Xenopus tropicalis: one gene and its partners. The protein of the gene in region 2 interacts with the protein of the main gene of each other region in a biochemical or structural test. Links are inferred from orthologs where the notes say so. Each region holds a gene or a part of one and is shown on either strand. Other genes may lie near its edges. The genes, in order: birc2, casp3.2, panx1, gsn, mapt and rb1.

What was found.
Region 1: the proteins of casp3.2 (region 2) and birc2 form a complex in vitro, tested with the Homo sapiens proteins (3 studies listed by BioGRID, with this or other methods). The link is inferred for Xenopus tropicalis from reciprocal best matches to the Homo sapiens genes CASP3 and BIRC2.
Region 3: of the proteins of casp3.2 (region 2) and panx1, one has a biochemical effect on the other in vitro, tested with the Homo sapiens proteins (2 studies listed by IntAct). The link is inferred for Xenopus tropicalis from reciprocal best matches to the Homo sapiens genes CASP3 and PANX1.
Region 4: of the proteins of casp3.2 (region 2) and gsn, one has a biochemical effect on the other in vitro, tested with the Homo sapiens proteins (2 studies listed by BioGRID). The link is inferred for Xenopus tropicalis from reciprocal best matches to the Homo sapiens genes CASP3 and GSN.
Region 5: of the proteins of casp3.2 (region 2) and mapt, one has a biochemical effect on the other in vitro, tested with the Homo sapiens proteins (3 studies listed by BioGRID). The link is inferred for Xenopus tropicalis from reciprocal best matches to the Homo sapiens genes CASP3 and MAPT.
Region 6: of the proteins of casp3.2 (region 2) and rb1, one has a biochemical effect on the other in vitro, tested with the Homo sapiens proteins (2 studies listed by BioGRID). The link is inferred for Xenopus tropicalis from reciprocal best matches to the Homo sapiens genes CASP3 and RB1.

What each region holds. Positions count from the first base shown.
Region 1 is NC_030678.2:162,212,387-162,215,959, forward strand, and holds part of birc2 (baculoviral IAP repeat-containing protein 2), read right to left. Parts: intron 885-3,573; 5' UTR 385-884; coding exon 1-384. UniProt on the Homo sapiens protein: Multi-functional protein which regulates not only caspases and apoptosis, but also modulates inflammatory signaling and immunity, mitogenic kinase signaling, and cell proliferation, as well as cell invasion and metastasis.
Region 2 is NC_030677.2:44,843,769-44,847,997, reverse strand, and holds the start of casp3.2 (caspase-3), read right to left. Parts: upstream 2,860-4,229; 5' UTR 2,779-2,859; intron 1,287-2,778; 5' UTR 1,233-1,286; intron 1-1,232. UniProt on the Homo sapiens protein: Thiol protease that acts as a major effector caspase involved in the execution phase of apoptosis. Following cleavage and activation by initiator caspases (CASP8, CASP9 and/or CASP10), mediates execution of apoptosis by catalyzing cleavage of many proteins.
Region 3 is NC_030678.2:165,574,093-165,577,665, forward strand, and holds part of panx1 (pannexin-1), read right to left. Parts: intron 1,050-3,573; coding exon 910-1,049; intron 1-909. UniProt on the Homo sapiens protein: Ion channel involved in a variety of physiological functions such as blood pressure regulation, apoptotic cell clearance and oogenesis.
Region 4 is NC_030684.2:9,687,196-9,690,768, forward strand, and holds part of gsn (gelsolin), read right to left. Parts: intron 2,110-3,573; coding exon 1,977-2,109; intron 1,885-1,976; coding exon 1,796-1,884; intron 1,323-1,795; coding exon 1,107-1,322; intron 988-1,106; coding exon 854-987; intron 1-853. UniProt on the Homo sapiens protein: Calcium-regulated, actin-modulating protein that binds to the plus (or barbed) ends of actin monomers or filaments, preventing monomer exchange (end-blocking or capping).
Region 5 is NC_030686.2:17,258,507-17,262,079, forward strand, and holds part of mapt (microtubule-associated protein tau), read left to right. Parts: intron 1-239; coding exon 240-293; intron 294-821; coding exon 822-1,084; intron 1,085-1,234; coding exon 1,235-1,327; intron 1,328-1,986; coding exon 1,987-2,068; intron 2,069-3,573. UniProt on the Homo sapiens protein: Promotes microtubule assembly and stability, and might be involved in the establishment and maintenance of neuronal polarity.
Region 6 is NC_030678.2:134,956,790-134,960,362, reverse strand, and holds part of rb1 (retinoblastoma-associated protein), read right to left. Parts: coding exon 3,433-3,573; intron 1-3,432. UniProt on the Homo sapiens protein: Tumor suppressor that is a key regulator of the G1/S transition of the cell cycle. The hypophosphorylated form binds transcription regulators of the E2F family, preventing transcription of E2F-responsive genes.

The DNA of each region.
Region 1 (3,573 bases), on a different chromosome or scaffold from region 2:
AGCAGCAGGCATGGATGTACTGTTGGAGGCAGGTGGTGAGAAGGCAGAGTACAGAGATGCGCCAAGATTCACTGAAGGGACATTCTGAATAAAACTACAGCTGGGATACAACTTTTTGTGCTTTTCAAATGCATTGTCACCTTTCTTCCAATTATCAAGCATCAAGCCGCAGGTAAAGCACTTGACCTTGTCATCTTGCCCGGTGTAATAAAAACCAGCTTTTGCAAGGTTGCGCTCAGACACATGTGTATTGCTTGGAAAGGAGCTAAATGTAGAGAGACGGTAGAGTTCACATGAGAATTCCAAGGTAATTTTGCACATGCTTGGGTTTGACTTCAACCTCTTAGCAAGGTCTGGGCGTCTGTCCAAAATCTCATTTGCCATGGTTTGTGAAAGGGAAGGAAGGGGGCATCTTTCCTAGGGAGATAGTTACTATATTATCAGTTACGTTTCCTATTCTGCAACACAGTTCTAATAAAAACATGCAGTGAATGCAAAGATTTCAGTGCTACTGAACCACATCTAGTTAGCCAGCACAATCTTATGGTGGCATGCACACTGGGAGCTCTTACTTCTACCTACACTCTATTCTTTCTCTTATATACAATTCAGGTAGGATAGTAAAACGCTAGCTCTTCAGTGCTAAGATCTTTTTTAAGTTGATTGCTACATTTCATTGTAAGAAATACTCTATAATCCATTATGGCCATAAATGCTACGCTTTCTGTATTAACTATAACTAAAGTGGTGGTATTTAGTACCCCTAAGAAAGATGCCCCCTTCCTTTTGTAAGGGTTTAGCAAGCCATAGTATAATGTAAATAGCAGTAGAGAAAAACAAAATTCTTCTCCAGATCACCGCATTGGTCGGTGAGACATCAGCACCTAGAGGAGTGGGCAAAAGACTCTGAGTTAGTTACGTTTAACATATTTGTCCTATAAAAGGGTATTAATTAACAATGCTGGAATAACATATATTTGACAAATTATCAGATTTACAATCTCCAGCTCCAATCTAATTGTATTAGTGCCAACAGCTGCAATTCTTATTTAGGCAATTGCACATGGGGATTTGTGATCACAATTAAAAAGTCAATCTAAACACAAGTGTTCACGTGTTTAACCATGGGACTGTCAGCTGATGACAAATGTAAACAACACCCCAGCCTATCAGGGCTTTGTGCTACCCTCCTAGTGCCACGTGGAGAGACGCTGGGTCAGTCACCAACACAGGCCAGTAATGGTTTTCTGAGAAAGTCAGATAGTTTATTAATTGGATAGTAACATATTTCTAACAAATGTGGAAAAATGTCAATATCCCTTTACAAAGAAAGACTTTGACACTCGACTTTTTACATGCAACCACACCTTTTTTAACTTTTTTAACTTTTTTTTTTGACACACGGCAAACTTTTTCCACACCGAATTTCGCAAAAAAATCTGCCAATGGAAAAATGCAGTTCACCATAAATACATTTTCTGCAATGATATATTTAATCAGGACAGGACATATTTAATTACAGGTAAAGGTTATAACTAAAGGGTAATTTTTACCCCTGGTCCCACTATCAGTCAGAATACTCATAAACTAACTAGGAGCCCGTGCAGAGGCTCATAACTAACTAGCAGCCCGTGCAGAGGCTCATAGCTAACTAGCAGCCCGTGCAGAGGCTCATAGCTAACTAGCAGCCCGTGCAGAGGCTCATAGCTAACTAGCAGCCCGTGCAGAGGCTCATAGCTAACTAGCAGCCCGTGCAGAGGCTCATAGCTAACTAGCAGCCCATGCAGAGGCTCATAGCTAACTAGCAGCCCGTGCAGAGGCTCATAGCTAACTAGCAGCCCGTGCAGAGGCTCATAGCTAACTAGCAGCCCGTGCAGAGGCTCATAGCTAACTAGCAGCCCGTGCAGAGGCTCATAGCTAACTAGCAGCCCGTGCAGAGGCTCATAACTAACTAGAAGCCTGTGCAGAGGCTCATAACTAACTAGAAGCCTGTGCAGAGATCATTTAGGCTACAAGGTAATCTCATCCCTTATATTCCCAATATTAAAGGAGCAGTGAAACCCCCTTATCTGTTGAGGTGGAGGGGTTTACATCCAACTTTAGATACATTGTTAGAGCAATGCAGCCAGTCCCCTGGCTTGGGGAAAGGCACAGTGTACAAATCACATATGCATTTTGTGCATTCTCTCTAGCTATAAATTTTACCGTTTGGGTCAACGTCCCCTTTAACAGGCAGCCCATGGTGTGCTGCCAATAAACAGGAGTGACACTGCCATAAGAAACACAGCTGTCTCCCCCCCCAGAGAAAAGAGTTTTAGGCATGATGATAAAATCTAATATGTCTCCCCTCTCAGTGCAGAACTCAAGCACAACTTTACATTGCAGATTTCCTATGGGGCCCCAGAAGGGAAAGCCTGCAAACGCCTATCACGAAAGGAATGTGCTGCTGCAATAGCAAAAACAAGATCCCAAGCTCCTACGACCCACCCTACTCTGTTCCATACTCTGCCCGTAGAAATGGCTCAGGTTTTATAAACATACACGAGGCGATTTCGCTCGTTGTGCGATGAACGATTATATCGACAAACGATCGTATGGCGATCGAGTTCCCATACGATATGCCATCCACGGGCAACGATAATTCGGGAAAGATTTTGTCGCATCATTATCGTAAAATACCTACGATCGTACATCTACGTACGATCGAATGTCGTTGACTTCCGCTGCTGGCAATCGTGACATGCGCAGAGAACAATCGTTGAAAGACAAATGTCTGACACTCACACCAACTGGCAGATTTTATCGTTAAACGACCAAAATTTTTAAACCTGGCCGATCGATTTTGGGGACGATAATGTCGGCTCGTTTAGTGGGCCGACGATCGTTCGTACACCACCAACTATACGATAACTTAACGATAGCATCGGATCGTTCGCGAATCGGTCGTTTGTAAGTAAAAAATCGGTCCGTGTATGGCCACCTTTAGGGTGAACACACACTGGGCTACTAGTAGCAGCTACTTTTTCAAGGCTACTAAACTCCAGAAAATCCCCTGCCACAGACAATACTGAGAATTGCCTCTGCTAAAACTCACGTAAAGACAATTATCAGAGTTCAACCCAGATCCTGACAACCCACTCACAGCATTACATGGGAACCTAATTGGTTCATTGGAAGCACTCCGTAATGCACCGTATAGGAAAAAGAGGGACATAATACCTCTTCCAGAAGTACTTACTACCCCAATGACAGCATGGGCTAAATTGATAAAGCAAAACAGAGTAAACATCAAGGGTCATTCACTACAAATGCCACTATGGAATAATACTAACTTACAACACTTTAAGGAATTGCCTGATTTCCAATACTGGCCAGCCAATGGGGTAAAATGGCTCTCGGATGTGCTAATTAATGGTATCTTTGTCCAATTCAATATACTCAAAGAGAAATTGGAGAAGCCAAACTTGCAGTTTTATAGATACCTTCAATTAAGGCACGTATTCAAAGCGCAATTTGGTTCACTAACAATTGACACGAGCTCAACCCCATGGGAAATAAGACTCTGGGATCCGG
Region 2 (4,229 bases):
CTGACCTAAAAGAAGAGAGATAATATGTATTCACTGCAGATCCAGGGATCCCTTATCCGGAAATCCATTATCCAGAAAGTTCCGAATTACAGAAAGACCATCTCCCATAGACTCAATTATATGCAAATAACTCTAAGTTTTAAAAATGATTTCCTTTTTCTTTGTAATTATAAAACAGTACCTTGTACTTAATCCCAACTAAGATATAATTAATCCTTATTGGATTAATTATATAGCAGACTTAAGGTATGAAGATCCAAATTATGGAAAGATCCCTTATGCGGAAAACCCCAGGTCCAGAGCATTCTGGATAACAGGTCCCATACCTGTACAAGGATCTCAGTCCACACACCACTGGCTTTTTTGCAAAATTGTTACTTGGTTTTTAATATAAACTTTATCAAGATAATTCATCAGACTGATATAACCTGCAGCTCTCTAATTACAATAACATGATATATGAAATGATTATTGGAAAGGGTTGCTCAACAAATGCTGAGAAGCAAAGGAAGGGGGGTCTATCTATATGAATCCCTTACTGGGAAGCACCTTCATGGATGTTAAAATAACACATATAAATAAACATCAGTAAAATGCCCATTTGTTTTCTACTATTATGCCTAACACCCTGACTGCTACCTACACTTTCACCTCAGTAGTCTTACAAGGCTCCTGCCCTCATGTTTAGCTCATTTATTCCTTCTCCACATCCCTAGATCAGTGCTGACAAAACTAGTGACTCTTCAGCTGTTTGCAACAACAGTTCACATGAACATCTGAGAATGTTAGCAGCTGTACTTTATATCAGAGCAAAGGCCCAATTTTTAACACTTCTGATCTCCTAAATCCTGACGGTTTCAGTGTGTGTGTGTATTTATATACATTTTATATAAGCTTTACATTTAAAGTACTTATCACTGACTTCAAGTGACTTCCCACTTATAAAATATTCCTCCTATATGTCCCCTGTAATAAAGCTTTGAAGTTGAAGAAGAAGCTCACTAAGGCTAGATTAATAAAAGCTCCAGGCTGCCAAATGTAAATCGGTCATTGGACTGGGTTAAGTTTACCAATGTTGAAAAACAAGTTGCCCAAGGGAAAGGGCATGTGGTAATAACCAGAGATATAGCTAGATAGATAGAGCTCAGTGATGTCAAATATAAGGATAATAGGAATACACTAAATACACTATATATAAGTTATACATAGTTAGAACAGATACAGGTACTCACCACACTCCAAATAAGTTCTGGGTGCTTCCCAAACAAGTCAAATATCTCCACGAACTGGAAGCACACACGGAGAAAAAAGAAGGGTTTATTGATGATTCACATCATTCACCACATCGGTGCGTTTTGGTTCGCCACAGCGGTTCAAAGAGAAATGAAACATGTTGATGTTTATACACAAACACACAAGCCTCCACAAGCTAATGATGATACTTATTACATGAATCATGTCACGGTCAGTGAAAATAATCTTATCTACTTTATCAACAATTTGTTTGCCTTGCACAGGTACATGTGTAAACTTGTAACTTCAATATCAGAAATAACAAACTTGCATTCTTAAAGGGACACTATACATTGAAATATACAGGCACTGGGCTGAGATGCCCACTCTGTGGTGGAGAGGACACAGATCATATACTGTACCTAGATATGAAGGGAGTTATTTTATATATATTATATCTTTATCTTATACAATAAAACTGACTGGATAATAAAAATTAGGACAGAAAACATAGCACTCAATCTATATCTTTTACCTTCCTAGTACAAGAAGTAGACTGTCCCTCTACCACAGTGTATTATAGGATTATGATCTAAATGAAAAATGTGTGCTTCAGGATACTTAGGGAATAATGTACCCCATGCCAGCCATTAGTGAGTTACATTATTACATGTACAAGTCCCTTGTGGGCTGTGCAGATTTTTCACGAGGCTTGTACAGTGCTCATAGTGACAGAATAATACATGTATCAAAAACACGAAAAAAACATTCTATTCTATGTTCTGTACTTATTAGTAAATGGTTTCCTCTAAGTTCCATGGACTGTTAAAAAGCACCTGTACTCAACACCCTGGTCTACTTGTGTTTCATACCATGGCCAACATACACAAATGTACACGAGTGTATGATTTTATAATTACTTATTAGAACACGTGCCTAGATGCTAGTGAAATGTGCACATATGGACAAAGGGCACAGCTGCACCAAAGCATGTAACTATAATTCCTGCCATAAAGCAAGACAGGACTGCTGTGGTATGGCAGGAAAAACAGACAATAAAATAACTACCAGGAAACATTCTGATATGGAAACACAAAATCAAACATTTTCAAATTTTACATGCTGCTTTCAGAAAGAAATAAACAACAATTTACTATTTTAAGGAAGTGCTTGCAGAAAATATATGCTCATAGGAAGTTGGTTTTTTTTTTAATAATTTACCTTACACGAATTAGAACAACGGGAGCTGATAGAGGTGCCTTACAGGAAACTACAGGCTGCCTGTACATAAGAATGAACTTATAAAAGCTAGTTAGCACACACTAGCCTGGGTACTCAGTGCCAATGTGTTCAAAAGTCTGGTACAAAGAATATTTAAAGCAGAAAAGAACACATTATAAAGGTGTATGCCACGTACATAGAGAATGTAGCGCCTCTTGTCATTACAGCACATCCGACATAACTTGTTTTCCTACCCGGCGGGCATATAAATACATTATGTATGTGTGTATATAAAAATACCGCACTAGGATTGTGCACACTTACCCAGAGACAAGGCGGCTATAGCGGAGAGTACAGTACAGGCTGCTCCGTTCCTTCCTTGCTGCTTTTGTGTCTGGCGTGTTTTTCCAAGACAGCAACAACACAAGCGCTGACCTCACACAAAATAGTAAGGGAGGGGGGTTTAATCCAGAGAGACAGCCTGATTGGTCGAGCGCTCGCCTATCCCAAGCTATCTCAGGGGAACCTGTAAACGAACAATACGGAAACGTTCCGACCAATGGGCTGGGCCTTAAACGGAGCAACTGGTGACGTAACGCCATTCTGCCAATCAGAAGCGGAATGCTGGCGAAGTTACCTCTATATCTCCATGGCAGGGATATTCCTGCTGGGTCTCCAGCTCTTACATAGTTAATGAACTAGTGCAGCTATTAGGAGTTCGTGACTGGAGGCTGAAGACAAACGATAGACGAATTCTCTGGGAATGCAGTTTCTGCATGATATAGCTCCCAGCCTTTACCTTGCAGCAGTAGAGGCGGAGTAATAATATGTTTGGGAATGGGCGGGAAATTTGTATATTGCAGCGGGAGCTGATGTGCGCATTGTTTGGAGATATGAGAAGGAAAAGGTCGGGTGACGTATATGTTGCACGTTATAGTTATATTCATTAGTTATAATTAGTTATAATGAGGAGGTTAAGTATGAAAGCAAATCCTACTCTGTAGTATTCTCCTGTCAATGGGCACAGGGGGTGGATTTTTTTTCTCAATAATACAAACTTGAATGGTATTGGGGCTTTTTTAATAGAAATTTTATTTCTATTTATTTGACATTTTTATTGAAAAGGAATGAGGTGTAAAATATGTGGAACTGGATCCTTATATCACCTTGGGGCCATGGGATTAGTTGGAACTTCTGGAAAAACATGATGGGTTGAGAAATTCATCAATAAATCATGAATCTACACAACTGTAAAGAAAAAAAATACATTTCATTACAGTAGCAACAGCTCCCCTTTAATAGAAGAAAACAATATCTTAAATGTAAAAAACAATGAATAGGTGCACTACTCAATCAGGTATTGTATGGAACCATAATTATAGTATTTCCCTATCAGTATAGGCTCATATAGTGAAAAATGTACCCCTATTGTAAAATATAAGGCTATTATAAGTCACTGGGGAGTTCCACTACAATATAGAAGCACAAGGTTGAAAGCTGGGTGCTTTTACATTGGAAGAGGAAATACAAGACCCAAGAAATTTGTAATGTGACCATCAAGCAGGATAACTTGAATATAATTAGGCAGGAAAAAAGATAGTTTGTACTCAATAAAGTAGGCAAGAAGTCCAGGCACGCTGCCTGGGACCAACGATGAGAACTGATAAATTGCTGTCAGATTAAATAAAGTGGGACAGAAAGTTACAATAAGTAAAAAAAGAAATGGTTATGTAGAGCTATTTCAACTAATTAAAATAAGGGTTCTATCAATTTGG
Region 3 (3,573 bases), on a different chromosome or scaffold from region 2:
TGCCTCTAAATGCCCAAGCTCTGTAACAACTGCCTAAGGCAATATGAGCTTATGTTCATTACAGAAAGCATGGCACAGGGCAACTATAATAATAATGGGATCATGGTGCCTTTAAGCACAAATATAGACTGGGTAGGGACAGCACTGAATATTCTAGGGTAGCTAGTGCCCAGGGACAGCCTGGCATACGGAAGGGCAGTACCCTTTTACAGCTAGAAAGTCAAAGCTGTTACACTATGCTGGGTATGGGATTCCCTTGTGCCTCTGTGTAGATGGAAGGGAAAAGACTAAAGGTCCCCATACACGGGCCAATTCTAGCTGCCGATATCTGTCCCTTAGACCAATTCAGCAGCTTATTGGCCCGTGTAGGGGCACAAACGACAGGCCTGCCCGACCAATATCTGCCAGATATCGATCAGGCAAGTTAAAAAGTGTACTCGGATCAGGGACCGAGACTGCGCCTATTACCGGCGTTCTAATTCGTTCTAGTTCGCATTAACCTAAATTCACCCGATATCACCCACCCGTAGGTGGGGATATCGGGAGAAGATCTGCTCGAGCGGATCTTAACGTGTGGCCACCTTTAGGAGCAACAGCATGTTACTTAGAATAAGGACATGGCAATACTACTGGGTAACATCTCAATGTGCACCATCCTTAGATTCCATTTACAATCCATGTGAACAAGAGAAAAAGCGTGAAATGTGGAGTTAAATAGACATTATATCTCATATGTAATAAAAGGCACTAAGTTTGCCCATGAGCAGTAACCCATAGCAACCAATAAGATATTTAAACAGGTGACCGGTAAATGCTACCTGCTGATTGGTCGCTATGGGTTACTGCTCCTGGGCAAACTTTGCGCTGTTTATTACAATACCCCTATATGTGCTACTGTCTGGGACGTACCTTATGCAGCCACAGGGGGACATTCCCAGAGTCGCTCTGAGAGAGGTGTTTTTGCTGAACTGCTGCCCAACAGAAAGAGTCGACGTACGCAGCCTGGCGCCATGAGAAGGATGTGGGGGCAAAACAGCTTATCTGGGAACCTGCAAAGAACAGAAAAGGGATACAATGAAGCAAAAAATAATAATGTTCAGGGGCGAGCTGCATATAGACACTGCATATATTCCTTTATACCACAAACACTGCATTAGATTTATTAAGCGAGTATGTGAGGTTGCCCCAATATGATTGGCTAAGAATTAAGAACCTATAATGAACCTTGTAGGCTAGAATTTCAAACCTCTCTAACCCTGTCCCCATCCTTATGCCCAAATCAGATTAATAACGTTTTATACTGGCCAAGGATGGGTAGATCTGGTCAAGCAAGGGCTGGGCCAACCAGATGGACCATGCACATCCATCCCACAAGGACCATATCAGAGACGAACGGGCGGAATATCTAATTATGTCGTACAACAAGGTCATGGGGCAAAAAATCTGCCTGTTTGGGGGGATTCATCAAGTTATAACTTCAGAATGAAAAATTCTGCCCCCACTGAGTTACTCAGCCATACAGAAGCTCTGTTTTATGAATGTAGCCCCGCCCAGTATAGAGAGAGAATACAGATGGAGCACACAGAGCAGGGCTATTTCCACTCTATGAAATATGAAAGCCATAGAACCCTTGGAACCTACAAATTGGAGAAAAGGATAAAATGTAGAAGTTGCAAAGAATAAATAAGTGTGAAGAGCCAATGGGGATATGAACAATACCCCATTTAGGGTCCATATTAACATGCAGGATATTGGGGGGAGTGGAACCCATGACCCGGACAGTACCAGGCTTTCAGCAGATAAACACATGAGCCAAACTCTAACTTGTGATACACAATCCCTTTTATTCTCCCCCTTATGATACAGAACCTTAATATATGCAGAAAACTGATTTGTCTGCTCTGGGGACAAGGACAATGGGCACTTTATGAACACGCGCTTGTCTTGATAGATGGGTCTGTACCAAATATAATTGGATCCTACTGAACAGAACAAGGATTTAGTGAGAAATGTGCATGTAACATTAATACTGACTGCTGACTGACAGACAGAGGGACACATATAGGAATCACATGCAGAATATTATACACCCCCATAACTGGGGCACTGAGGGGTACCCAGAGTTTGTGAACAGGACATACCCAGGGACTACACAGCCTCTTGCAATAGGATTTATTTGCCCACTCAGGTGCTCAAAGGTTCAGCTGAACTGGTTACATGTATGGGACCAGTAATCCAGATTGTTTTGGACTCTGAGTTTTCCGGATAACTGATCCCATACCTGTATATGATGTTTACAAACTTAACCATTTACTGGAAACCTTCCAAGAACATTATGGGCTGTTACAGCAGCAAACCGAGGAGCAACTTCTTAATACAGGTATTGGATCTACTATGCAGAATGCTCGGGACTTGGGGTTTCCAGATAAGGGCTCTTTCCATAATTTGGATCTCCATGCTTTAAGTCTACTAAAAAAATAATTTCAACAATAAGCCCAATAGGACTGTTCTGCCCCCAATAAGGGGTACAGGTATAGGACCATCCAGAATGCTCGGGACCAAGGGTATTCCGGATAAGGGGTCTTTCTGTAATTTGGATCTCCATACCTTAGGTCTACTAAAAAATCAATAAAATATTAATTAAACCCAACAGGATTGTTTTGCATCCAATAAGGATTAATTATATCTTAATTGGGATCAATTACAAGGTACTGTTTTTTTACTACAGAGAAAAAGGAAATCAGTTTTAAAATTCTGAATTATTTGATTAAAATGGAGTCTATGGGAGACGGGCTTTCCGTAATTCGGAGCTTTCTGGATAACGGGTTTCCGGATAAGGGGTCCGATACCTGTAATTATATCTTAGTTGGGATCAAGTACAGGTACTGTTTTATTATTACAGAGAAAAGGGAATCATTTAACCATTAAATAAACCCAATAGGGCTGTTCTGCCCCCAATAAGGGGTAATTATATCTTAGTTGGGATCAAGTACAGGTACTGTTTTATTATTACAGAGAAAAGGGAATCATTTAACCATTAAATAAACCCAATAGGGCTGTTCTGCCCCCAATAAGGGGTAATTATATCTTAGTTGGGATCAAGTACAAGGTGCGGTTTTATTATTACAAGAACAAATTCTGAGATTATTCTCAGATTATTATTAATTCTGAGTTTGTTTTTAGTCAGAAAGGAGAGACAGTAGATGGTAGGAGTTATATTATCTATAATAAGCACAATGCTGCAGAGAGAGTCGGTCACCCCTAGGCACCAGGCCCTTTGCTCACTGTCAGTCAATGTGGCTGCCTCCTGCCCGGCTTGTTATGGGCACAAACAGCTCGGGGTATGACCCAATGCCACACACAGCTCTATTCTGGGCACACAGAGGCTTCTCTGTTAGTGCTGAGTAAATAATCGGATCAGGCCGTTCTGATTTCAGATCTGCGGCGGGGGAATAAAACCAAAACATGTGAATCTGATTTAAGCCGTATAAAGACACAGTTCATTGCTGGCTTTGCTCATTAGTTCATATTAAGGATATTAGATTTAGTTATCACAAGACAGCGTGTGTGTGC
Region 4 (3,573 bases), on a different chromosome or scaffold from region 2:
ATATAGCTCCCTATAGCATATTTAGGTCCCTATAGTTAGCCCCCTATAGTATATATAGCTCCCTATAGTATATATAGCTCCCTATAGTTAGCCCCCATAGCATATATAGCTCCCTATAGCATATATAGGTCTATATAGCATATAGAGGTCCCTATAGTTAGCCCCCTATAGTATATATAGCTCCCTATATTTACCCCCCCCCCATAGCATATATAGCTCCCTATAGCATATATAGGTCCCTATAGTTAGCCCCCTATAGTATATATATAGCTCCCTATAGTAAGCCCCTTATAGTATATATATAGCTCCCTATAGTAAGCCCCTTATAGTATATATATAGCTCCCTATAGTAAGCCCCTTATAGTATATATATAGCTCCCTATAGTTAGCCCCCATATCATATATAACTCCCTATAGCATATAGAGGTCCCTATAGTATATATACCCCCCTATACTTAGCCCCCCTATAGTATATATAGCTCCCTATAGCTACCCCACTATAGTATATATAGCTCCCTATAGTATATATAGCAAAAAAAAGCATGACATTGCCTCAGCTGGGACAAGGGCTGGGAAAGGTTTGGTGGTCAGACGAGACCAAGTGCTTTTTGGCCAACATTCAAAGCAATGTGTGGTTCAAATCTACAACTGCCCACCTCCCACTAATACCTGTGGTAAAGGATAGTGGTGGTAGCACCAAGCTGTGAGGCTGCTTTTCAACAGAAGAGGCCATGATCTTCTTAAGCAGAATGAAAAATGGATGGTGGGAAATACTGGAGACCCATGTTGAACCCAAAGAGATGGTCAAATTAACCATGGAGGGTCAAGAGATTCCCACAATGCAATACCCTACCATGTGTAGATGATCTGGCCTTGTTTTCCGCCGTGCTTATAATTATACAGAATGATGTAGCTGTCTCCACCATAAAACTGGCCGTAAAGGGATTTAGAAACAGGAACTTTCTTGCAGTCTTCAATACGCCAAATCTGGTAAAATAACAAATGATCATCTTGTGGGTCATGAAGTGCACGATTCCCAACTGCCCCCTAGTGACTGAAGGTAAGAAGACCAATCAATGGATTCTGATCATGGCATTAAAACTCACCTGTTTTTGGCCAGATCCATCATCCACCATGCCGTGCTGGGCAGCCATGGCCGGGGATTCGTGTAGACCACTGACGTCGAAAGGCACATTTTCAATTTTGGCGATGTGGTGGGGGACGTAGGCAACACCCATGCCCTCGGTGGCCTCCTTGTCTTTCCAATTCTTGAAGAACTGTTTGAACAGGGGAGTCTCGCCATTCTCTGGCAACACTTGGACCTGCGGGAAAATAGAGAATATTGTAACCCTGACACAAGAACCAATGAAAACCCAAACAGAAGGGTCTACAGCAGCTTGGACCAACCAGTGGCTCAATCATTTCAACGTTGCTCCTGGTGGCCTCTAGACAGGCGCTTATTTTTGAATGGAGGAGGCAAGTATAAAGACAAACAGAGCCTCCTGTAGGCTGCCAGTCCGTATAGGGGCTGCCAGTTAACCAATCACAGCCCTGATTTGGTACCCCCAGGTACATTTTTCATGCCTTTGTTGCTCCCCAACTCTTGAATGTGGTTCATGGGTAAGAAAGGTTGGGGACACCTGGTCTACAGCAATAGTTCTTGGACCTTTTTTGGTTTGAGGTCCCCTAAAGGATCAACATGTGGTATTGGTAACAAAGCTATGGATATAAGTAATGCAAATCAATGCTGGTTTGGGAGCCTGGCATTACAAAGCCAGGAGATGCCAGGACCCACCTGAGTTTGCTTTGGGTAGCCCATCTTGGAAATGAATTCAGTGGCAGTCTTTAGTGCAGCTTTCTTCTCTTCCATGTTGGCATTCCTTCCTAGAGACATAGGTTAAAATGTTAGGACACTGATGTGGGTCTAGATACTCCGAATCCCCAGACACCCACAATATGCCTTCACGAATACAAACCTTTCCATACAAAGATCTTTCCATCTGAGCCGTGATCAAGTACAAAGCAGTCATCTGAGTTGAGGGCCGCCTGGGTGAAGGGGTTTTGATCTGCCACTAGAGACACCGTCATGGCACCCTTTCCATCAGAGACCTTGTAAGGTGGAAAAGGAGAGGTTAAATCCATAGAGAAAGCTTCACATTCAAAGACCCTTTAGGCTACTACACACACAGTTAACCTCAATTTGCAACTAAACACAAATAAATACTAATATATAATCTATATATATATCTCATGTATTCTTTCAGCTTTGGCACATGTATATTTAAAGTTTCAGACCACATGGATGAACAAATATAGTGAACATTCCATTCCATGTATAATACCCCAGAACACACGGTAGAATAAATACAGGACCAATATTCCAGAATATGCATAATACCCCAGAATTGGCACTGTATTTATCCTGCTGTGGGTTCTGGGGTATTATACATGGAATTGGCACTGTATTTATCCTGCTGTGGGTTCTGGGGTATTATACATGGAATTGGCACTGTATTTATCCCGCTGTGGGTTCTGGGGTATTATACATGGAATTGGCACTGTATTTATCCTGCTGTGGGTTCTGGGGTATTATACATGGAATTGGCACTGTATTTATCCTGCTGTGGGTTCTGGGGTATTATACATGGAATTGGCACTGTATTTATCCTGCTGTGTGTTCTGGGGTATTATACATGGAATTGGCCCTGTATTTATCCCGCTGTGGGTTCTGGGGTATTATACATGGAATTGGCACTGTATTTATCCTGCTTTGAGTTCTGGGGTATTATACATGGAATTGGCACTGTTTTTATCCCGCTGTGGGTTCTGGTGTATTATACATGGAATTGGCTCTGTATTTATCCTGCTGTGGGTTCTGGGGTATTATACATGGAATTGGCACTGTATTTATCCTGCTGTGGGTTCTGGGGTATTATACATGGAATTGGCACTGTATTTATCCTGCTGTGGGTTCTGGGGTATTATACATGGAATTGGCACTGTATTTATCCTGCTGTGGGTTCTGGGGTATTATACATGGAATTGGCACTGTATTTATCCTGCTGTGGGTTCTGGGGTATTATACATGGAATTGGCACTGTATTTATCCTGCTGTGGGTTCTGGGGTATTATACATGGAATTGGCACTGTATTTATCCTGCTGTGGGTTCTGGGGTATTATACATGGAATTGGCACTGTATTTATCCTGCTGTGGGTTCTGGTGTATTATACATGGAATTGGCACTGTATTTATCCTGCTGTGGGTTCTGGGGTATTATACATGGAATTGGCACTGTATTTATCCTGCTGTGGGTTCTGGGGTATTATACATGGAATTGGCACTGTATTTATCCTGCTGTGGGTTCTGGGGTATTATACATGGAATTGGCGCTGTATTTATCCTGCTGTGGGTTCTGGGGTATTATACATGGAATTGGCACTGTATTTATCCTGCTTTGAGTTCTGGGGTATTATACATGGAATTGGCACTGTATTTATCCCGCTGTGGGTTCTGGTGTATTATACATGGAATTGGCACTGTATTTATCCTGCTGTGGGTTCTGGTGTATTAT
Region 5 (3,573 bases), on a different chromosome or scaffold from region 2:
AGTGGGCTTGGTTCTGTAGGACAGCATGCTTGGTTCTGTAGGAGAGTGGGCTTGGTTCTGTAGGACAGCATGCTTGGTTCTGTAGGAGAGTGGGCTTGGTTCTGTAGGACAGCATGCTTGGTTCTGTAGGAGAGTGGGCTTGGTTCTATAGGACAGCATGCTTGGTTCTGTAGGAGAGTGGGCTTGGTTCTGTAGGACAGTGCAAGGCTTTCTGTAATAAATACCTTCTTTTCTAACAGCTGTCAGAAGGGATCAGAGAAAGCCGCCACCCAGCGGTGCCAAGCCAGACAGAGGTGAGTGGCACATATACTGTGGGGAGCAGATTAACCCATGTAATTAATATTACTAAGTTGCTACTGTCAGACTATACCGTTGCTATGTTTAATAGGCAATAGTGCGATTGCATAATGATTATTACATTCAATGTGTGGGTGCTCTGAGCTGATCTTGGTAGCCCCTATATGGACTGGCAGCCTACAGAAAGCTCTGTTTGGCAGTACTTCAGGTTTTATGCCTCCAAAACTTGCCCCTAAGCCAGGAATTAAGAAATAAGCACCTACTTTGAGACCACTGGGAGCAACATCCAAGGGGTTGAGGAGCAACATGTTGCTCACGAACCACTGGTTGGGGATCACTGGTCTAGAACAACCAAATGCACACAGCTGCCACGGGCTGAATATTACAGCTGGCTGAGAAGCCACAAGTGTTGCAGTACCAGGCTTGTTTCAGGTTTCCTAGTTTCATGATCAGACCCCATTTGTCTAAATTGTCATGTAGTTCTCCTCTCGTTCAGTTCTAATGCAGTTTTACCCTTGTTGCAGCAGAATCGCCCAAATCTGGTGAAAGGAGCGGGTACAGCAGTCCTGGATCACCTGGCACACCAACTGGACGTTCTTCTTCACAAACACCCCCAACCCGGGAGCCCAAAAAGATTGCTGTCATTCGCACCCCTCCCAAATCCCCAGCATCTGCCAAGAGCCGTCTGCAGCCAGTCACTAGCCCAGCAGCCATGCCTGACCTGAAGAATGTGCGCTCAAAGATCGGCTCAATAGACAACATTCGGCATCAGCCAGGTGGCGGCAAGGTACCAGGGAAGCAGATTTGGCAAAGGCCAGAGATTTATGGTGCAGTAGATCAGAGGATATATAATTCCATAAACCACGATAGAGCTCACTGCCCTCACCCATATTCCTTTCCTTGTATAATGTACTTACCTCTGTTCTTTTTTATACAGGTGCAGATAGTTCACAAGAAGATCGATTTGAGTAGTGTGCAGTCCAAGTGTGGGTCAAAGGACAATCTGAAACATATGCCAGGGGGAGGCACAGTAAGTGGCCCCTCTTTATACACAGCTATGCAGACAATGAAGATAAAGCAACAGGGCACATGATGAGCAGGGAGCGACACATCCTTACTTGCCCGCTAACTTGCCGGTCACCCAAGACGCAGAGAAGCCTTGTACTTACCACCTTTCCTATGTCAGGCATTAAGTACAGGCTCTGTAATAAGCACTAAGGGTTACAATTTTGCAAGCTTTAGTGCTCTTGCAGTTGCAGACGGGGCTTCGCTCAAAGGGGCTGTTCACTTTTAAATTAAATATGTTGTAGAGAGTGCTCTGAAAATTTTCAACTGGCCTTTATTTTTCATTACTTGCGGTTTTTTAATTATTTAGATTTTTATTTAGCAGCTATATGGTTGCTATGGCCCAAATTTGCTGCCTCAAGTTCAACCCTTCCAAGTAAACACAGCTGTACTTGTATTTAAGGGCAATAAACCTTACTGCTGACTAACGCAGGGAGTTTAATGTGCTGTGTAGCCATATTGTACAGAGGCAGCAGGGTTCTTATTGAGGGAGCTCTTGTATGAAGTGGGCCACTGGCCTAGAGAGCTGCTAAACTTTAGCAATCAGGTGACCTATTAGATTTTGCTCTCTCTCTCGTTTGCTCGTTTCTAACTCTGTTCTCTCTCTCTTCTGTCCACTTTCAGATACAGATAACTCACAAGCCGATCGACTTGACACACATCACTTCTAAGTGTGGATCTTTTGGCAACATCCACCACAGACCAGGTACCGCTGGCCACACTTATTCATAGCCTCGCCCAACTTGTGCCCAGTTTTAAAGATAAGTAAACCTTAAAAAACAAGATGATGTGAAATTGATGAAAGTGTTATTCTAGGCACATTTGCAATTGATATTCATTACTATTATTATTTTTAAATTCCATGATATTAAGAGTTAAAGAACTGTTAATATGAATGCACACATTACCACCTGCTGGTTCCTTTCTGAACACTAACCTTCACTAACCACTGATGTACAAACCCAGATTGCTAACTGCCTCCTGGCTATCTCCTCCTGGATGAACCAATGCCACCTCAAACTTAACCTAGCTAAAACAGAGCTCATGGTCTTCCCGCCCAAACCTAGCCCTTCTCCTCCTTTAACCATTACTATTGATGACATGACCATTAACCCTGTTAAATCAGCACGCTGCCTTGGGGTTATCTTTGACCAGTCACTTTCCTTCTCTAATATGGATTGACAGTGTTATTAATTAACACTGCCAAAACCTGAGGGGAATATTGCCAAGATACGCCCCTTTCTTTCACAAGTTACTACTAAAACACTAATCCATGGCCTTATCCTTTCCCGCTTAGATTACTGCAATCTCCTACTAACCGGCCTCCCGGACTCCCACCTCTCTCCCATACAATCCATCTTAAACTCTGCTGCCAGGATCCTCCTGCTCTCTCCTAAGAGGAAACCTGTTTAGCCTCAACCTCAATCTCTCTAGCATGGCTGCCTGTTAAGCAAAGGATAGCTTACAAAATCCTTCTGCTAACATTCAAAGCCCTTCACTCCTCTGCTCCTCACTACATTTCTTCACTGGTCTCCCTGCATGTTCCTGGTCATCTCCTCCGCTCCTCTCGGAGCCTCAGTCTTTTTACACCATCCACACCCACTGCGCTCTCTCGTCTTAAACCTTTCTATCTCGCTGCTCCTTACCTCTGGAACTCTATCCCTGAATCGCTCCGTAGGGAACACTCACCCACTCTCTTTAAGAAAAAGCTCAGCTGTTACCTTCTGGAGCCCTAAAACATTATTTTGCCCAGTCCTGGGCTCAAGGGCAAATGCCTGTACCTGGTGCACTCTTACCTTCCTATTTGTGCCTGTATGTTACCCAACCACTTAGATTGTAAGCTCTACGGGGCAGGGACCTCCTTCCTACTGTGTCTCATACCACATGGCACTTATTTCCTGTCTATTTATATATATTTATTGTATTTATTATAACATTGTAAGATTGTACAGCGCTGCGTACCCTTGTAGCACTTTATAAATAAAGTTATACATACATACATACATGCAGTAGTTGAGGACGTTGTTGAGGAACTTATCAGGAGAATGAAAAAGGTCTTTTCTGATGTTCTTTTGGTTTGGAAAAACATTAGAAACTTCAGATAACTTTTTCCACATCTTTCATAAAGAGAGGAACATCAAATCAGCCCTTTTAATTTCTCCTGACAACGTCCGTGACTACTTTGTGTTTGGAAACTGACCAGCAGGTGGT
Region 6 (3,573 bases), on a different chromosome or scaffold from region 2:
AAGACAAAAGCGAATTTATGCCATGTAATATCCCCAAAAACACGGTAAAACTTATTAAACTCAACTTTGAGTTCCAGATTAGGGAGAAGTACCTACCATACCTAGGCATAAGTTTAACCCCCACCCTAGACACTATGTACACACGCAACTACCCCCAACTATATAGAAGTTTAACACAGGAAATGCAGGGCTGGAATAAGAAACAAATTTCTTGGATGGGGAGGGTTAACTGTATTAAAATGACGACTTTACCAAAACTGCTGTACTATTTTAGGGTCCTACCCATAGCAATCTCACAGAGAGACTTGCAAAGCTTCCAGAGAACTGTTATGATGTTTATTTGGAACAATAAAAGACCAAGGATTAATAAAAGAACAATGTGCCTACATAAATCAAAAGGAGGACTCGGAGTCCCAAATCTACAACAATATTACAGGGCAGCAAGATGTGCCCAAATTGCCCCACTACATGGAGAAACACTAGCCCCACTCTGGGTCGAAATTGAATCTGCCCTAATACAACCGACTTCTCTAACGAGCCTAATCTGGAATCCGACTCAAGATCTTAAAATGCTCAAAGACATATCACCAATAACTCGCCAAATGCTGCAACTATGGAACACACTTAAATACAAATATGAGCTAGCATCAAAGCCCTCAAGGCTGACACCAATATGGAGAAACAACCTTTTCACCCCAGGATACAATAAGGACTCAAATGGTGGACGGAGCAAGGAATATCCTTTGCTTACCAACTCACAGACGGATCCAAACCTTTACAACTAACCCAAATAATGCAAAAATTCAAGGTACCCCCAACTGAACACTTCCATGCACTACAAATAACCCATTTTATACAACAACTATGGGGAAAAACAAACATGCATAAAACAGCAATGGAAACCATCTGCGAGGCCTCACCAATGGGCCGGAAAACGCTATCTCTACTATACCACCACCTAAATCATATACATACAAAAAATAAACTGCAACATATGCTAGACTGGGAATAAGACCGAAAAACAGAAATACCCCAAGAAACATGGCTTAAAAACTACCAAAATATATTCAAAGGTAGCTACAACGTAACTATAATGGAAACCTCACTCAAACTATTCCATAGGACATACTATGTCCCCGAACGACTTTCCCGAATTTACCCCACATCGTCACCACTTTGCTTCAGGAACTGCACCACACGAGGCACTATGTGGCATATATGGTGGACCTGCCCAACAGTGCAAGAACTCTGGACAAAAGTAGCCACTATCCTTTCTAAAATGTTCCATACGGACATCCAACCATGCCCTAAGACAATGCTCCTAGGACACAAACTACAAGGCCTCAATAACTCTGCACAACGCTTAACACAACATATATGCAAGGCAACTAGAATCCACATCGCAGCCCAATGGAAATCAAATCTACTATCCATAGAAAAAGTCCTGGACAAAATAGAATATATACACGCCAACGAAGCTCTCAAATATCAATTGGACAACGAAACTGACCTATACCTAAAGATATGGGACACCTGGATACTAAATAAGGACAATCTCTCTCGAACACACTGCAATGGGTAGGACCCCCTCTAAATAAAACGGATAAAAGTAAAAAATAAGTGAAGGTGAAATTGAAATGCTAGTAAGGGACGATAAGTACCAGCTTAGAGACCTAGAGCGCAAAATGTTAAAATGTTTTTTGACCCTTATACCCTCCCCGTTCCCCCCTCTTCCCATCTCCCCTAACCTTTTCATTTTTCTCTATAATAAACAAAATGATATACATGTAACATGTGAAATAAATGTACCAACGAAACATGTAAAAAAACAATAAAAACAAAGTTTACAAAAAAAATTTAAACTTTTCTTGGAACAAAGAAAGCCCCATGGGGCTGGGATCTCATCCACTTAGCTCTTACTCTTTAAATTAACTTTTAGAATGATGTAGACATTGATATTCTAAGAAAATTTGCAACTGGTCTTCATTTTTTTTATGGGTTTTCAGTTATTTGGCTTTTTGTTCAGCAGCTTTCCAGATGGGTATTGCAACAGCTATCTGGTTACTTGGGTCTTATTTACCCTAGCAACCAGGCTGTTTAAACAGGAGCAGGGAATATGAATAGGAGAAGATCTGCATAGAAGAGAAGATCGGCATAGAAAGATATGTAATACAAAGTAACAATAACAATACAATTGTAGCCTCTTTGAGAAATAGTTTTTTGACTGCCGGGGTCAATGACCTCCATTTGAAAGCTGGAAATAGTCAGAAGAGGAAGGCAAACAATTCAATCTATTAGAAATAAATAATGAAGACCAACTGCAAAGTTGCTAGGAACAGGCGATTTTATAACATACTAAAAGTTAACTTAAAGGTGAACCGCTGCTTTAATGTAACTGTACCTTGCACACTTTGTACAGGTATAGGACCTGTTATCCAGAATGCTCGGGACCACGGGTATTCCGGATAAGAAGTCTTTCTGTAATTTGGATCTCCATATCTTAAGTCTACTAAAAAATCAATAAAAAATTAATTAAACCCAATAGGATTGTTTTGCATTCAATAAGGATTATTTATATCTTAGTTGGGATCATGTACAAGGTACTGTTTTACTATTACAGAGAAAAAGGAAATCAGTTTTAAAATTAATGAATTATTTGATTAAAATGGAGTCTGTGGGAGACAGGCTTTCCGTAATTTGGAGCATTCTGGATAACGGGTTTCCATACCTGTACTAATTTTTATTTCAAAATACCTATAGTTTTTTTCTGATAGGCTTTGAGGGTAAATTATAATAAACAAATATATAAAACATTATGTAGGTCAAATTAATATTTATATCTTGGGTATCCTGGTTGAAAAGGAAAGGACACTTTTTGAAACGAGCTCATTTGGGCTTATGTAGAATATTTTATAAACACCATCAGAACCCCCAAAAATAAATATAGCTGACATATACAAGCCAAATAAATCCTCCTATCCAGTCATAAATGGATTTTAATATACAAAGAAGGTAATTGAGGCAACAGAATGGGCCAGGTTTTACTACATAATAAAGAGCAAAGATATGAAACATCAATAGGTTCAAAACCTATCCTAGAGTGGATACTGCATTTCTAAATTAAGATTCCCCAAATTTGTGTTGACTGTGATCAAAAAAATGAATTTTATGCAGAGTTTTTAAAATTGTGTTTGTAGCATGATGAGTGGGACTGTGCACCCCTACAAAGTCCATGCACCCTAATTTGTGCTTAGTTCAAAAGCTTTGTGCTGAAGAACGAGAGCACAGTTTAGCAGGAACATTACTCTGTGAATTTGTGAATTATAGATAAAAAAGTGGATTTAAAAATTCAGTAAAGATTTATAAAACGGTTTCACGTTGCTTAATAATGTACAATGCTGGACAAGTCAATGGAAAAAAAGCTTTACTTACTGATTGCCAAGCCAGGCTCTCCATAATTTGATGCTCACAGCGCTCTAAGTACTTGATCATATCGCTTGTTAAACTTGGCTCTGCTTTGATAAAGCATTCAATTACTTTGTAAAAGTCAAAAGCTTTAATTTCAAATACCCG